Cricetulus griseus: one gene and its partners. The protein of the gene in region 2 interacts with the protein of the main gene of each other region in a biochemical or structural test. Links are inferred from orthologs where the notes say so. Each region holds a gene or a part of one and is shown on either strand. Other genes may lie near its edges.

What was found.
Region 1: the proteins of Mafg (region 2) and Nfe2 form a complex in vitro, tested with the Homo sapiens proteins (2 studies listed by BioGRID and IntAct, with this or other methods). The link is inferred for Cricetulus griseus from reciprocal best matches to the Homo sapiens genes MAFG and NFE2.
Region 3: the proteins of Mafg (region 2) and Nfe2l1 form a complex in vitro, tested with the Homo sapiens proteins (2 studies listed by BioGRID and IntAct, with this or other methods). The link is inferred for Cricetulus griseus from reciprocal best matches to the Homo sapiens genes MAFG and NFE2L1.

What each region holds. Positions count from the first base shown.
Region 1 is NC_048595.1:399,620,404-399,625,921, forward strand, and holds the start of Nfe2 (transcription factor NF-E2 45 kDa subunit), read right to left. Parts: upstream 3,446-5,518; 5' UTR 3,391-3,445; coding exon 3,277-3,390; intron 1,184-3,276; coding exon 173-1,183; 3' UTR 1-172. UniProt on the Homo sapiens protein: Component of the NF-E2 complex essential for regulating erythroid and megakaryocytic maturation and differentiation. Binds to the hypersensitive site 2 (HS2) of the beta-globin control region (LCR).
Region 2 is NC_048600.1:133,124,102-133,129,428, forward strand, and holds the start of Mafg (transcription factor MafG), read right to left. Parts: upstream 3,766-5,327; 5' UTR 3,748-3,765; coding exon 3,601-3,747; intron 1,530-3,600; exon of another isoform or gene 1,038-1,529; intron 982-1,037; exon of another isoform or gene 604-981; intron 582-603; exon of another isoform or gene 534-581; intron 434-533; coding exon 371-433; intron 285-370; coding exon 1-284. UniProt on the Homo sapiens protein: Since they lack a putative transactivation domain, the small Mafs behave as transcriptional repressors when they dimerize among themselves.
Region 3 is NC_048600.1:109,978,716-109,984,284, forward strand, and holds the start of Nfe2l1 (endoplasmic reticulum membrane sensor NFE2L1), read right to left. Parts: upstream 3,164-5,569; 5' UTR 3,012-3,163; exon of another isoform or gene 3,008-3,011; intron 2,737-3,007; exon of another isoform or gene 2,603-2,736; intron 1,445-2,602; 5' UTR 1,263-1,444; exon of another isoform or gene 935-1,262; 5' UTR 933-934; coding exon 423-932; intron 1-422.

The DNA of each region.
Region 1 (5,518 bases), on a different chromosome or scaffold from region 2:
CTCTAGGCTAACCTCACTGAACATACCTTGGGACATCCAAATGCTAAGGTTGCATCTGCCCTCTGGGTCTGAAGAATGCAGTGCCTTATGGGTCCTGGGGCTGGGGAGTACCTTTATCAGAAGGGAATGTGGGGGCGGCCCTAGCACCATTGTCAGTCTCCTCTAAGCCAGCTCAATCGGTGGTCTCCATCTTGGTCCCACGGGGCACCAGAAAGATGGCCCCATCAGCAGCCTGTTGCAGTACATATTCCTCCGGTGAATAACTGTTGCCAGATTCATCCCGAAGATGTTGGAAAATGTCATGGTACAACTCTGCCAACTGTTGGCGCATGACCTCCAGAGTGCGGTCGGCTTCGCCTCGGGCTCTGAGAAGCCGCTCTCTTTCACTACCCAGCCGCTCCAGCTCCCTCTCTAGCTGCACAATGGTTTCCAGTTTTCTCTTGCGACAATTCTGGGCTGCCACCTTGTTCTTGCCCCGCCGTCGGATGTCCCGAACTAGAGCCAACTGGCTCTCTGTTAGCGGGTACTGCGCCAACAGCTCATTAAAGTCATCTACAGGCAAGTTGACAATCTTGTCCGTAGGGAAAGGAATCTTCATGGCCATGGCGCGCCGCTCATCCCGACTCCCCGCCTCTCCCCTAACAGCAGGCTTAGCCCGCACAGGGCCAGAGGATGACTCTAAGCCCAAGGGGTTCTCAGTGGGTGGCAAAGTATAGTTAGGGTGGGCCAAGGAGTTGGGCATATGGGAGTAAGGGTACTCCACCGGGTACATGTCCACATACTCGCTCCTCCGCCTGCCAGCCTCTGCACCCTCTAGCTCAAGAGATTCTGCATCACTGTAGTTGAGGGATAATCCTGAGTCGGATTCTGGGTCTTCTTGGGGCTTGGGTGCCCCCACTGGTAGCCCAATGTCCAGGAGAGCTAAGGGGTCCGGGAGGGGCTCATTGAGCAGGCCTGAAAGGGTGAGTGGCTTTGACACTGGTATAGCCATGTTGCCATAGGAGTATGGGAGGTCTGGGACATGGGGAGTAGATGCTGCTGGCAGCTCATAAGGTGGTAGGGGCAGGGAAAAGCCTGCATCTGGGTGAACTGAACAGGGGCAGTATGTTGGAGGTGGCAGTGGTCCAGCATATGGGGTGGGTGCTTGGGGCTCAAAGGATGGCTCACTTGGAACATTTAGACCCTGCAAAGAAAGACATGACAAAGGTTAGAAGATAGACTGTGATCTCCATGTGATAGAGCATAGATTAATACTTAATAAATGGGTTAATTTAAATTATAAGAGCTAGTTAGGAAGCTGGGCGGTGGTGTCTCAAACCTTTAATCCCAGAATTTGGAAGGCAGAGGCAGGCAGATCTCTGAGTTCAAGACCAGCCTGATCTACAAGAGATAGTTCCAGGACAGCCTCCAAAACCACAGAGAAACCCTACTCCAGAAAAAAAAACAAACTTGTTAGCCAGGCGTTGGTGGCTAACGCCTTTAAATCCCAGCACTCAGGAGGCAGAGGCAGGCACTGACTGCTCTTCCAAAGGACCCAAGTTCAATTCCCAGCAACCACATGGCAGCTCACAACTGTCTGTAAATCCAAGATCTGACACCCTCACATGGACATACATCCAGGCAAAACACCAATGCAAATAAAATATAAGTTATTAAAAAAAAAAAAAAGGAAAGAAAGCAGCATGGTGGCATAGGCTTATAATAGCATTTGAGATGTAGAAACAGGAGGGTCATGAGTTTAATGACAGTCTTGGCTACATAAAAAGTACAAGGCCAGTGTGGGCTGTGTGAGACCCTGTTTCAAAAATCAAGAAAGGGGCTGGAGAATTGGCTCAGCAGTTAAGAACTGCTCTTCCAGAGGACCCAAGTTCAATTCTCAGTACCCATATGGCAGCTCATAACTAACTCCAGTTCCAGGGGATCCAACACCTTCACACAGACATACATGCAGGAAGAACAGGAATGTACATGAGATTTAAAAAAAAAAAAAATCAAGAGGCCTTTAATCCAAGCATTCAAGGGGCAGGTGTATCTCTCTTGAGTTCAAGACCATCCTGGTATACATAGCAAACTCCAGGGCTACCTAGCCAGAATCTGGGCATGGTGGCACACATCATTCATCTTAGCACTGGGGAGGCAGAAGCTGCTAAATCTCTGAGTTCGAGGCCAGCCTGGTCTACAGAGTGAGTTCCAGGACAGCCAGTGCTACACAGAGAAACCCTGTCTCCAAAAACAAAAAGAAAAAAAAAAAAGAGAGAGGAAGAAAAGCAGTTTGTTTTTGTTTTGTTTGTTTTTTGAGACAGGGTTTGTCTGTATTGCTTTGGGGCCTATCCTGGCACTTGCTCTGTAGACCAGGCTGGCCTTGAACTCACAGAGATCTGCCTGCCTCTGTCTCCCGAGTGCTGGGATCAAAGGCGAGCGCCACCAACGCCCAGCTGAAGAGCAATTTAGTAGGAATAAAAGTCACTGTGAGACCTCAGAGAAGATAACTTTGCACTGAAATGGGTTCAGAGTCTCCTTCTAAGGAGAAACTCTTACTGGGCCAAATAGCTCCTGTTCCTTCACTCTCTTTAGGAAGACAAGGCCATTATTACCCAAGATGGACCCTCAGAATCCTTTTCCTGCTATGGTTAGGTAGGGTCAAAGGGTCAAGTTCAAGGTCTCGCCATTCGCTGGGTGCCCAGCAGAGGGAGCTGGTGTGTGGGAGGAGGGTCTAGGGCAGAACCTGAGGACACCAGGCCTGGGGGGGGGGGGGCAGGCACAGAGGCCAGGCTGGGGGTTAGCCCTCTGTCCAGGTGCAGTGAGGAGGAGAACACATGTTACAAACAAGGCCCCCAACTTACGTAGGAGAGCTATCCTGCTCAAGCCTAGCTGAGGACAAAGACATCATTGTTAGACCAACAGACACCCCTTTGTCCAACATTCAAGAGAGGACCCCGGCATAGTCTGTCTCCCCTTTCTGAGGCCCTTTAACTAAGGCTCTGCTACCTGGAGTAAGGAGCTGGTTGCTAAGGGTGAGGGGTGGCAATGAGGGAAGACAGGCAGTGCTGGAAGAGAGGCTGATCAGATGAGAAGGAAATAAAGAGAGGGGCAGAGAAGAGGGTTGTAGAAATGTGAGCAGAGCAGCTGGGCAGGAGCCCACATCCCCAACCAAATCCTTCCCTTCCCCCTCTCCTCCGTGTTCCTCATTGCCGCCCCCACACCCACACCCACACACAAACTCTGTTTCTGACCAGGCCAGAGCCCCTACCTCTGCAGTGCCCACCCCATACTCACCTGCAGCTCAGTAATGGACATGATCTCTTGCCAAGTCAATTCCATCTCGCCCAGCTCCCCAACAGGCAGCTGTGACAACCTGTCCCTGTTCTGCTGAGGAGGACACGGGGGCATCCTACTGTGCCAGCTTCTGGCCCTAGTTCCTCCAAAGCTCAGAGGGCTCCAGCAACCTGTGTGGACGGAAGGAAGGGTTAGAGCTGCTGCTGTCAGATTGAAAGTTTGTCCCATCCCTGTGCAGAATCCCCAGAAGAAAGGAGCAATGCCAGTGGTTCACTCATGCCAGGACCACCAACATCCTATGAACTGTAAAGTTCTTTTCTGTGGCATACTCTCTACCTCACCTGCTCTGGCCATAGTCACTCCTCTGGGCACACAGTAGGTATCTTTACTTTTTCTCAGACAAGATATCTTCTCTTACTCCCTAAAAATGGTATTCCTGTCCAGAGGCAAAATTCAGTCTTCTGAGGTTTTATGGTTGAGGTTTTGTTTTCCATTCTGGGAGAAAACATCAAGAGTCACCCATGCCTTCCTCTTGGGTCCTCAGTTTTGTTGTTTGAAACAGGATCTTACTATGTAGCCCTGGCTGTCCTGGAACTAGCTCTGGAGACCAGGCTGGCCTCTAAATCACAGAGACCTGCCTGCCTCTGCCTCCAGAGTGTTGGAATTAGAGGTGTGCGCCACCACGCCTAGCATTTCAGTTCTTTCCTTTCTTCCCAAGATGTGAGTGAATGCTCTGCTCGGGGATCCCCAAGCAGTGTGTTGTGGAAAGTGCAGGCAGACAGCCCCTCCCCTTGTCTTAGATAGGGCCCAGGCCTGCTGGTGATAGCAGCCCTGCCCTCTACTCCCATCCTTACTCTGGGCTACTCTGCCTGAGCCAGATAAGAGGCTTATCAGCTGCAGGCAGCAGAGGCAGAGGAGGAATGGGCTCCAGGAGACACTGGACCTCTACCCTGTATCCCAACCAGGTCATTTGGCCATGCCCCACCCCACATGACCATGACTCCTTTCTCTTCCAAGGTCAACATACAGCAAAGACTTAGCAAGTAAGTCAAAAATTGTGCTGGGCTTCATAAAGACCTTGTAAGGGATAGAAGGCAGATACTGAAGCCCAAGCTGGTAGGTGACAGGTTGGAACCTGATCATATCCCTTGCTGCTTTCTAGGCCCCCTTTGGTTCCCAAGGTTCCTCTTCTTTTAATCTGGGCTATAACTTCAGTTCTGCCCCAAGACAGCAGTGTGGTAGTTGGGCAAGCCATCTCACTGCTCCTGATCAGTTCTCCCAGTTGTAAAGTCAGGGAGTTAGACAACTTGAACTGGAAGAATCCCTTGCTGCTTGGACAGTTCTCTGCAAAGTCTTACCCTTGCTTTCATCATCTCCTCTGGGTCCCTACCTCCATATTCTTTGATTCCCATCTCTATCTGAATCTGTTCTCTTTGTGTCCAACAATAGATTCCAAGTAGACTTGTCAAGGTTCCCCTGATCTCTCAGGGACAGACATAGCATAGCATGTGCATGCAAGCACACCTACAGTGCACACCATACAAATAAAGGAAACCTTACAGAAGAACAGAGGATGATGGGACTGGAGGAACTCAAGAAAATTGTATTATATGATTTTACATCACCCAACACAAGAAGAGCCCATTCCTGCTATTCATTATGGAATCCCCTCTTGTACCTACCACAAAATGTATAGTCACTACCAAGTGTCCTTTTCACAGGTGATCTGCCTGAGGCCCTGCCTCCACCCTCTTGCTATAATGCCATCCCCAGACATGGGAGTTGGTATAGGCACAGTCCTTTGACCAATGGGTAGAATGGGTGGGGTGTTTATGTCTGTCCAGGATGCCATTTCAACACCGGAACTCCACCCTCCCCACCCAGGTTCTGGCGGAAATTGCCCAAAGGCAGAGTGAATGGAGAAGGACTTTGGGGGGTGGGTGGGCAGGGACTATGACTATTGCCTCATAGTTCTTCACACACTCTACCTCTCTTTGCCTCTCCTGTCTTTCTGAGTAAGAATCTGCGGTGCAAGACAAGATCTTGCCCTAGAAGGCAAGATTCTCTACTCTTCAAGATGCATGACCTTGGACAAATTGCATCACAGTCTCCAATTAAATGGAATCAGGACTAGAGAACCTTACTGCTCTAAGAAGGAACAGACTGCATCTAGTCAGAGCCACAAATCTTACTGTGTACCACGTTCCCACCTGGGGTATATGGAAAACATTCCTGAAGGCCA
Region 2 (5,327 bases):
AGGGCGTCAAGCTCCAGCTTCATGCTGGCGTTTTCGGAGGCCAGCTTCTCCACTTCCTGCTGCAGCTCCGCCTTCTGCTTCTCCAGCTCCTCCTTCTGGGTCACACGCTTCACTCTGCAGCTGGCTGCGTAGCCGCGGTTCTTAAGTGTGCGCCGGCGCTGCTTCAGCTGGATGATCTCTTCCTTGGACAGGCCTCTCAGGTGCTGGTTCAGCTCTCGAACCGACATGGTCACCAGCTCCTCATCAGTCAGGCTGGTGCCATTCTCACCCGGCTCCCGCTTCACCTGGAGGAGAATTCACAGGGTCACGGGGTCACGGCAGAGCAGGAAGGCCCACCCCATCACACCCCGAGCCCAGGTTCCCCACTCACCTTCAAGGCCTTGTTTCCTTTATTGGGGGTCGTCATAACCCGGGGGCACAATGAGCAGGCACTCTGCAAGACACAGAGCACAGGTCAGGACCCTGTAGACCCCCTTTACACCCCAACAGGAAGCTTGCTGTCCGGTGCTCAGCCCACTGAACCTTGCCCTCACCTGACCTGAGCTGGGCTGCTTCAGAAGGCCCTTTCCCTAGAAAGACAGGTGGGAGATGGGGAGGCTTTACCCAGGGAAGAGCCAGCTGTGTGAAGGCAGAAGACAAAGGGAGCAGAGAGAGATTAGAAGGTCTGGGCTGCAGGAGGGGCAAGCCTAGAAGGAAGCTGAGCTTTAAAAATAACCCCAGCACTGCCCCAGAGCACACTGTTCCTGGCGAGTCACGCTGACTCAGCACATCGCCTCCCTCTCTTCCTGAGCCGCTCTCCCATTCCTAAGGCCAGCCAACAGTTCCCCAGGAGACCCACTACTGGGACCAACGGCAGGCAAGGGTCAGTCAAGGACCCTGTACTGCAGGGTCCTACTTTCCATGTATTTGTCCCTAAGCTTGCCCAGGACAAAAGAAAGCCCTTTCTCCCTCTAGGACTTAGGAGGCTGCTTCCTGCCTCATTTTGGCAGAGGACCAACCAGGTTTGCTCTAACTGTGCTGACTGGGAATCCTCTCACCTTCCAGGTAGCAGGCAATCCAGCTGGGAGGAGCTGAGCCCAGGCCCCTCCAGTCCTCCCTGTCCACCTCCTTAACAGATGGAGTAACCATCCTGTGGCTTGGTTGCGGCATCCTGTGCTCCTGCCCCACCCGATACTGGGTGTTTCACAAGGGCCCCCACAATTAACAGAGGGAGGGCACTGTTAGCTGGTAACAGGCAAGAGCCAGCCCCTTTTGGGTCACTGGCTAGTCTCTGGCTCTCTGCCTAGGGTCAGTGACCACAGGGCCAGGGAACAAAAGCACAACAGCTACCTTCTACGGTCAGCTACCCTCTGGCACTTTTTAAAATTTCTGATTTCTAAAGCCTTGCCAAGAACATTTTTGTATACCCAGGCTGGGAATCCCCCACTTAGCCCAGCACCATGGCTACAGATGCAGGGAAATGGAAGGAACTGCAGGAGAGGTTGTTGCAGTGTCTTCCAGGGGAGGCTGAAGGCTGTAAGCACTTTAGGCAACAATGTGTCGGGGTGGGGGGTGGGGGGTGGGGGTGGGGGGTGGGGGTGAGGAGTGGGGGTGGGGAGTGGGGGGGTGCTTCTTAACACTTATCAAAAGAACTAAAGTGTGAGCCAGGGAGGTAGAGGCTCCTGTTCTCATCTGAGCAAAGACCCTACTACTCTCAGTCTTGCACAGGACGTGCTAAGCACAGAAGCTGGAGACACTTCTCCAGGGCCAGATTAAGAGCATTTTCAGAGGCAAGAGTCCCGTTAGATCAAAGAGAAAGAAGTCAGGGCTAGGGGTCTGAAGAGGAGCTGCCTTTCTTAGAAGGTGGCCCCCGGCTCACACCAGGAGCACAAGAAAAGGTGAGAGAGGCAGCCCTAGCAGGAGCTTTTTTCACACAGACTGCAGACTTCCCGCGATTGCACAGGGAAGTGCAGTGTGTGGTAGCTGGGAGCTGAAAAGTGCCTCCTCAACAGATTTTCCCCTCTGCTGAAGGCCTGATCAGCACAAGTGCAGCCAACTGCCTCCTGGTCAAAGGTGTGTGTGTGTGTGTGTGTGTGTGTAAGGTGTGTGTGTGTGTGTGTGTGAGTGTGAAAGGTGTGTGTGTGTGTGTGAAAGGTGTGTGTGTGAAAGGTGTGTGTGTGTGAAAGGTGTGTGTGAAAGGTGTGTGTGTGTGTGAAAGGTGTGTGTGTAAGGTGTGTGTGTGTGTAAGGTGTGTGTGTGTGTAAGGTGTGTGTGTGTGAAAGGTGTGTGTGTAAGGTGTGTGTGTGTGTGTAAGGTGTGTGTGTGTAAGGTGTGTGTGTGTGTAAGGTGTGTGTGTGTAAGGTGTGTGTGTGTGTAAGGTGTGTGTGTGAAAGGTGTGTGTGTGTGTAAGGTGTGTGTGTGTGTGTAAGGTGTGTGTGTGTGTGTGTGTGAAAGGTGTGTGTGTGTGCTCGCCCGTGCTTGTGCATGCTTAAGCGGGGAGGGAGAGCAGGTCTCAGCAAAGCTAGTGTTTCCAGCTGCCTGCCTAGCTCCTGCCAACCTAGGGTCACACGGTGACAAGGCAGACAGCTTTGGGGGACAGCTGTCCTGAGGTATAGTTCAGAGCCTGAGGAAGCTGCTCAGAGAAGCTGCTCAAGGCCAGCTTGCCCCCCAGCTCTGCTCTCCTCCAAATACTCTCAGAGCAGACATCTGGACACTAGTCTCAAGCAAGACAGTGGCCCTTCCTCAACCTTTCGGGCAAACTCCAGTGCACGAGGCCCAAACTCAGGTCTCCCCTACCCCAGATACTGACAGTATTTGAAAACAACTTAAATGTCACAGAAGCATAGTGACTCCAAAGTTTAAACACCTCTCTGGGATCTTGAATTTTCATAGGGCACAAAGTTCCACCCTAAACGAAACACCTGGCACCTACGAGCATTCTCAGGGCTCAGTGTAGTAAGTGCGGATGGGAAGTCTCTAAGCCTAACCCCAAGGTCAGCTTAAGCTAGCCATGAAACCCCGGGCAAGGAAAGCAATGCGGAATAGAGCTCGGGACCCTTCACAGCAAGAGAAATCAGTAAACATCCACGCAGCCATGCAAAGGTGGGGGCCACACCCCACACAGGCTGTCATCAGGTCAGCCTCCCAACAGGGCACACACACTTTTTGCTAACTTCGGGCGACAGTGGGACCCCAAACTCTTCTGACAGGGATAAAGGAGAGGTAAATGAGAAAGAACTACGTTCTCCACTCCATGCTCGCACCTCAAAACTTCCACCGGGTACCATCCACGCTTCCCTCCCATTAGCTGGCAGAGCTGCCCCGGCTTCCTCAAGCCACACAACCCTTCTGTCCTGACTCCCGGTCTTTTCGGTGCAAGGCCGACGCCGCCCGGCCAGCCAGGGTCACTCAGAAGGAAAGCCTCCTTCCCAGACAAGCGGGCTCGGCCCACCTAGGCTCCTCCCCTCAGCGTACTCCGATCGGTCTCCCAGTTTGGGGAGCTGGACCAGGAGCCCCAGAGCCTAGGGGGATGCGTAAGCCCGGGGCTCTACCTTCCACCCCGCGAGGAACCCGCGGCGCACCCCGGTGATGCGTCCCTCGAGGCCTTTGCCTCCAACTCACAGGTCCGATAAACTTAAACACGACCCCCGGCTCCTGGCCCGACCTTCGCCGCCCGGATCGAGCCCTGCCGCCCGCTCGGACTGCCCGAGAGCCGGCCTGGGCCCCCCGCCCCGGGCCCGCGTCAGCAGGAGCACCGAGTGACCTCATGCTGATGACTCAGCACGTCTCCGCTGGGCTCGCACGCGCGTGGCGAGCCCAAGCCGCTCAGCGGGGTCTCCCCGCCGCCGCCGCCGCCCCTGCCCCTGCCCGCCCGGCCCCGCCCGCGCGGAAGCCGACAGACACCTGATGAGTCAGCAGCTCGGTGCGGCCGCCCCGCTGACCCGGGCAGACGCGCCGACCTCGCCCTTTAATCGCGCCCCCCGCGGGGCGCCCGGGGGTCCGTCGCGCGCACGCCCGGCGCTCCCAGCCTCGCCTCGCCCGGCCCACAGCCCGGGGGTGGCACCGGCGAGCCGCCGGCTTCCGACCGCCTGGCGCAGAAACCGGGGCCCGCGCCGCCGTCGCACGGTGCGCCGCAGCCCCGAGGCCAGGCCCCGCCCCGCCGCCCGCCCGCCGCTCGCCCGCCCGCCCCAGCCCCCGCACTCACCACACTGCGGGCCCCGGCGGGCCGAGGCGGGGCTGGGGCGGGGCCGCGCGCGCTCCGAGGCTGCGCGGGGCTGGGGCGGGCGCGAAGGGTCCGGGCCGCGGGCTTGGGGCGACTGGGCGCTCGCGCGGGCCGGGCCGAGCGCGCTGGGAAGGCCGGGCCGGACCGGGTCAGAATCCGCCACCGCCGCCGCCGCCGCCGCCGCCGCCGCCGCTCCTCAGACGTCACATGATGTTTGGTCACGTGGGCTCCATTCATGAAGCGGCGACGCGGCCGGCCCGAGCTTAAAGGGAAAGGCGCGGCGACGGCGAGGCGAGCGCGCCCCAGCACGCCTGCGCAGCCCGGCGCCGTCGTCCCGGCAACCCGCCGCGCCCAGCGGACGTCTCGCGGGACTCGCGCGGCGCCCTCCGCGTGCCGAGCTCTCCGCGGCGCGGACACCGGTGGCTCCGGTTCCCCCCGGGTCTCCTCGCCTGCTCGGGCCGAGGTCGGAGGGCAGGTTTGCCCGTGTTGCCGCGTCCACCGGCACGCGGGGTTTTCTCGGGACAGCGAGCGCACCCTGGCTTGGGGTTCCGGGCGATGCCCCCGCCTCTGCCTCCCGGAGTCGCCGCGCCACGCGGGGCCCCCGCCCGCCGTGCTGATGATGTGACACGGTTGCGGAGCTTCTTACCGCATCCTGTTGCGATGCCCCCTCGTTCCCGAGTGGGTCAGAGAGCTGGGAAGGCCCAGCCCACACCCCGGCCCGCGCCCCCAAACGCCCGACTGGCACTGGGGCTTCGCGGTGCGCGCTGATGGTCCCGATCCCGTTGCGGTGCAGCGTCTAATAAAAAGTGAAAAAGCGGGAGAGTTTCAGGTCTTTCTACGTGGCCCTCCCTTCTCAGGTGGAAAGCGGGCTGGGGATGGGTTTGTGTGTGTTCTTCCTGTTCAGTGCCACTGGGTAGCGGATGGACGTGTGGCACAGGCTAAGCCAGGATCCTCCAGTCCGTTCCGCCAGCCTCCAGGAATTTGTTTGGGGATCTCACACCTCAGTTTATTGTCACTGCCTGTCCTGTAGGGCCAAAAGTAGTTCTTAACATTGTATTTCTTAGGGGAGTGTGTGTGTGGGTGGGGTCTTTATCTCTCGCTGGGTGTAGCTAGAGTCTCAGGGTAC
Region 3 (5,569 bases), about 23 Mb from region 2:
AGAACTTTAGGGTACAGCATCAGGTTTTAATGTGTTTGTGGTAACAAGACAAGAGAGGCGCCAGACAGTAAGTGTCTTCAAAACAATAAATACTCCATCAAAGCCCAAAAGGTAGCCCTCCCCGACCTAAAGCCTCCAGCAGTCATATTGAAATCTAAGCACTAAAAACCCTGGTATGGTCTAGGAACCACCCTGCCCTGATAGTACACTCAGAGGTGGGTCAATGGTTCAAAACATGGACATGCTCCCAGCCCTGAAATCAGACAATTAAGCCCAATCCTATCCAAGCAGAGCCAACAGTCCAAACCCCTGACCCTAATCTATTTGGTTCCTTAAAGAACTCGGAGTGGAGCTAACAAGCCCTCAGAACCAACCCACTCCTGCCAACACCCAGGCCCACCCACCACCACAGCACCACTAACCTCTTTGGTTAAGTCTCCACCGGCAGGAGGGGCCACAGCCCCCAAATCCTCCAAATCTTCACTGAATCCCTGCTCCGTTTCACTTTCTCTCACCCCGTTGTCTGGGCCTGTCACGTCTTGGAGGCCACTGGAACTCTCAAGGGCAAGGCCTGAGTTGGGCTGGCTGCCAGAGACAGACCCCTCTGGGTCCCGGTGAACCAGCCAAGCATTTACCTCAGTGGTAGGCACCTGGAACCTATCCAGGGCCCTCACCTGACTGAGGAGTCGCCGGGCAGTGAAGTAATTGTCCAGGTCTATGCTCTTGGGGTGGATACCATAGCCATCCAAGGTATTCCTCAGGTTGTGGAACTGGGTCTGAGTATAGGCAGAGCTGGGCCCCAGGATGATCTCCCGGAGTGGAGGGAGCTGTGAGGTCAGGTAAGTATCCACGTCCACCCGAACCCCAATCAGACTCAGCAGGATGGTGAACTGGAGCAGTCCTTCCGTTAAGTATTTCTTCAGAGAAAGCATTGCTGAAGGACCAGAATGTTTATGCTTTTTGTTTTTAAATCTTCCACAAGACAAGTCAAGGCCACTGCTCTGCCACTCCAGCCAGCAGGTTACCCTCCTCAGTTCGAGACCCTGTAACCCACCCTGGCACAAAACAGGGGCTGATCTCCCCGATTGGCCCCAGAGGAAAGCACACCCTGTGGAGCAAAAGCCACACTCCAGACCACATTCACTTTTCCCTTCTTGACACCTCACCTCTGAAAGTTCAGCTGTTACTAACCCAGTCCAGGCCCTCAAGGCCCTCTCAACTTACTGTCTCCACAGTCCACATACGGTCACTTCCTCACTCACATTAGCTGTCCTCTACGGAGATCCCACTGCAGGCTGTTCGCAGGGACAGCTGATAGTTTCTTTCTTTCTTTCGTTCCTTCTCCTTGCTAGGGTTTATTTCCTTTGGCTGGAGCTACAGGTCTTTGTCTTGGGTCAGAGTGTCCCTCCTCCTCTGCACTTACCAGGGGGGTTTCCAGAGAAACCTGAAATGGGAATCACAAGAGCAACAAGATAAGATTCCATACCCTTTACATCATGATCAGGGTAAGAACCTTCAGGGAGGAGGTAGGAAACAAATTAAAAGGCTACTTTTACAAGAAAAAACAGAACCAAACCTGTTGTACCAACTACAAAAAGAAGGAAACACAGTTACCAAATACTGCATTTGTTATATTTTTTTAAAAAAGTAGTTTTCAAAGAAGCAGACACTGAACATGACATTCAAAATACCTTACACTTTGTCTAATTTACCAACACTGCTAATAGAACACATTACCCGGTTTCTAATTTTAGCACAAGAAGCCCATTTCCTATCTAAAAAAAAAAAAAAAAAAAAAAAAAAAAAAAAAAAGTTGGTTTCCCATGTCATTGTCCCTTCCAACTCAAAAGAGTGAGACGTGTGAAAAGTAGATGGGCCCTCATTTCACACATAGAAAGATACTTTTTTGTTTTTCCAACTTTGAAATCTAATCTCCCTTTCCTGTCATTTTTACGTTAAAAAAATAAAAATAAAAAAAGAAAGCTGAAACATGATGATTAGGAGTATAAGACCAACCTAGACAAAATAATGAGACCATTTCAATAGAAAAAAATTAAAGGGCAAGGATACAGACCATTGGTGCCTAATTAAGAGGCCCTGTTGCAATCTCTAGTAAGGCAAAATGAAAGAAAGGAGGGGAAAGGTACAGGAGAGCAGTGGAGGAGGGTGGGCCCTGCTCCACTGGAAATCTGAATTCACAGGTTTTATCTTTATTCGCATGACCTTCTGAGCCAAAGCAGAAGGATATAGCTAAGTTCTCAATCTAAGTTGCCAAGTGGGGAGAAGGTAAATTTGCCTTTCCGTTTCTGGTTTCTACTTTTGAGCTTTCATTAGTCCGATAAACCAACTCCTGGGTTGAAACCCACTATCAACTTCACTCTAAAGGTGAAATGGGACCTACACGTACGAGGCACACACACCCACGGAATACCCTCATTCGGTTGAGTAAACATTTCTGCTTTTGATCCTCGCCCGCCCTCGCGCAATTTACTACTAAAACTTCCCAAGTGCCAATTAAGTTTGAGAGAGCGGACAAAGTTCTTCAAAGCCAAGAAGGCCAGAGAGCACCCGGGCGCGAGTCCGGTCCCACCCTGCTCCATACCCGAGTCTGCTGGGGACCAGGCTGCCATGCCCACGGTCGACGCCCCGGCTTCTAGCTTTCTGGGACACCAAGCCACAAGTGCTACTTCCCTGGCCCTGACCCACCCTTAAATGCGAGCCTCACCCCGCCCTCCGTGCCCGAGGCCCCACCCCACTCTCCAGTCCGGCCTCACCACGCCCTCCCATGCCCTCGGCCCTTCGCGGTCCAGCCCACCCAGGAACAAGCTTTGTTTGCACCCCGCTTTCCCCTCCGGCCAAGTCCAGAGCCCGAGTCGGACTAGGACCCCGCCTGGCCTCGCGCGTCCTGCCTCCCGCCCCTCAACCCCATCTCGCCGCCCCTCATCCCACAAGCTTCGACCCTGTTGCGCCGCGGCTCTCTCGTCAGGGAAGGGAATGTGTCAGGTACCCACTGCTGAGGTCGCAGTCCACCGCTGTCGCCACAGCAGGCCCTCAGCCCGAGTCCCGGCCTCGCCGCCGCCGCCGTCGCCACCGCCGCCGCCGCCACCTCCGGCCGGCCTGGAGCGCCCAGCCTCGGCTTCCCTCCCCGCCCCCTCCTTCCACTGCACTCGAAAGCCCGCCCTCCACGGCCACGCCAGAAACAGTTGCTCCAATCAGCTAGCCGAAGCCGAAACCGTCACCGGATGTCGCTTTGATTGACGGCAAAGAGAACCCAATAGCCAAGTGTTGTCTCCGCCTCCTCAGCCCCTTTTCCCGAGACTGACGTGGAGAGCAGACCAATGAGTGTGCAGGCCCGCCCCGCGGTGTGAACCCACCAATGAGTGGGGCGAAGGCCCTAGTGTCCGGCATTCCGAACCTCTCCGCTGCGCTTCGAAGGTGGACGGTGTTATAAGTTAGGTGCTTCTGGTGCATTGTTTGTCTAGGAATAAGGTCTTTCCAGGCAGAGAGAGGAGTATTGCCGCCGGAGCCCGGAATTCCGTCCTTGAGGGTTCCCACGGTGACTTGCAAAAGTCCAGTGAGACCTAAGGAAGCCGAGGCGGGAGAACGGAGCATGTGGTTCTCCTGGTGGCGACGCTCGTGTAGCCATCTTGGGTACTGGCAACGGAAACCGGTCGTGTCCCCCCCCACCCACACACACACCTTTGCCCTAGGGACTGGTGTAGTAACCTGGGTCGGACAGGAAAGGTGGTATCTTGTAGCCCAGGCAACAGTCAAATGGCGGAAACTGCCGGGCAGACAGATTGTTAAGGCGGTAGTGGGATGTTGGTAGTGTGAGAGATGGAACATAGTAACCATTTTTGTCATCAAAAGAATGCCCGAGAAGCCCCTCCCCCTCCTCTAACCACTCGTAAACAGCTTAGTTTTTGCTTTTCAGGAACGCTCCTTGGTTGCCGGAGTACTCCAATCCCATACACCAATACAACCAAGCCATTTTTTTTTTTTTGTGACTCTCAAATTTGGTATGCTCTCGACGTTTGTTAGATTCCAAATTGCAAAGCCTGTGAGAGATTCTTGTTCAGTAGCCATGGGGTAGGGCCTGATAGCATGCCCTCTTGAGTAATTCTAATGCAGCAGGTCGAAGACCACATTTAGGAAATCATTGAATTGGAATTTGTACTGTGTTCCCAGCTGTGGGACAGAGGTGAGGTGCCAACAGAGTTCTTGTCTCCTTTTAAGGGGCCATGATCTAGTTGACAGTTCATTGTTTATTGTCCTTGTGTAATTAAGGACAAGGCCAGCAGATAACACATCAGATCGATTCCTGCTGCGCGAATATTTGGAGAGATTCACAGAGTGTTAAGCACTTTAACTGGTATAAATACGCACCAGCATCTTCCCTTCTGATCCTTGCAAGTTACTAAACTACTATATACCTTTTTAAATTAAGTTATTTTGAGCTAGTTTACACTTTCAAAGACTGCTTTACTTAGTCATCATTTTAATGTGTCCCAGTAAAAACTACAATATAAACCCTATGACACAAGAAATTTGAATATTAACTGTTGGGTCTCCAAAACAACAGGGCAGCCAGGGCTCCCAGTACTCTTGGGAGGCAGAGGCAGGCAGATCTCTGTGACTTCAAGAACAGCCTGGTCTACATAGACAATTCCAGAACATCCAAGGCTACATACAGACTCTATTTCAAAAAAAGAGGAGTACCAGGATACTTGGTGATAGAGTTTGTAACTAGAGTACTTGCCTAGCATCCAAGAGGCACTGGGTTCAAACTGCTTTGATAAACAAAAAGATAGTTACAAGGGGAAAGGAAACCAAGCAGGTTGAGCCTGTAATTCAAAGATCCCGCTAAAATAGAAGCATTCTGACAATACAGTGGTTTGTTTTGCCTTATTTTTAGAGACAGGTTCTCGTTCCAAGGTCCCAGACTGTCCTGGAATTTAGGGCAAGCCTCCTGTGTTCAGCCCCTCAAGTGATGTATTTTGGGTACATTCCATCAATTTCAACTAGAGTGCATTCCTAACGGGGCTAGGGGCACAGGCTTGTCATCCTAGCACTCAGAAAGCAGAGGGATCCCTGCAAGTTTGAAATCAGCTTGGTTTACATGATGAGTTTCATTCATGCCAATGAGGGCTACATAGCAACAGCCTATCTAAAAACAAAAACAACCAGAAAAGTGAAAAAAAAAATCTAACAAACAGAAAAATGACAAGCCCCTAAATTCAATCCCTAACAAACCCTTCTTAAAAGGGAAAAGAGGGATAGGCAGGTGGTGGTGGCACATGCCTTTAATCCCAGCACACAGGAGGCAGAGAGAGGCAGGCAGATCTCTGTGAGTTTGAGGCCAGCCTAGTCTATGGACCGAGTTTCAGAACAGGATCCAATGAGAAACCCTGTCTCAAAAGAAAAAAAAAAAAATACAGGGAGAAGAAAGTCAATTATTATGGGCTTTTGAAACTACTTTGACCTCACAAGATAATTATAATTAAAAGCAGAATAAAAGCCTAGAGTCTCTCACTTCATTTTGTATCTATCTTGTTTAATTAGTCATCTT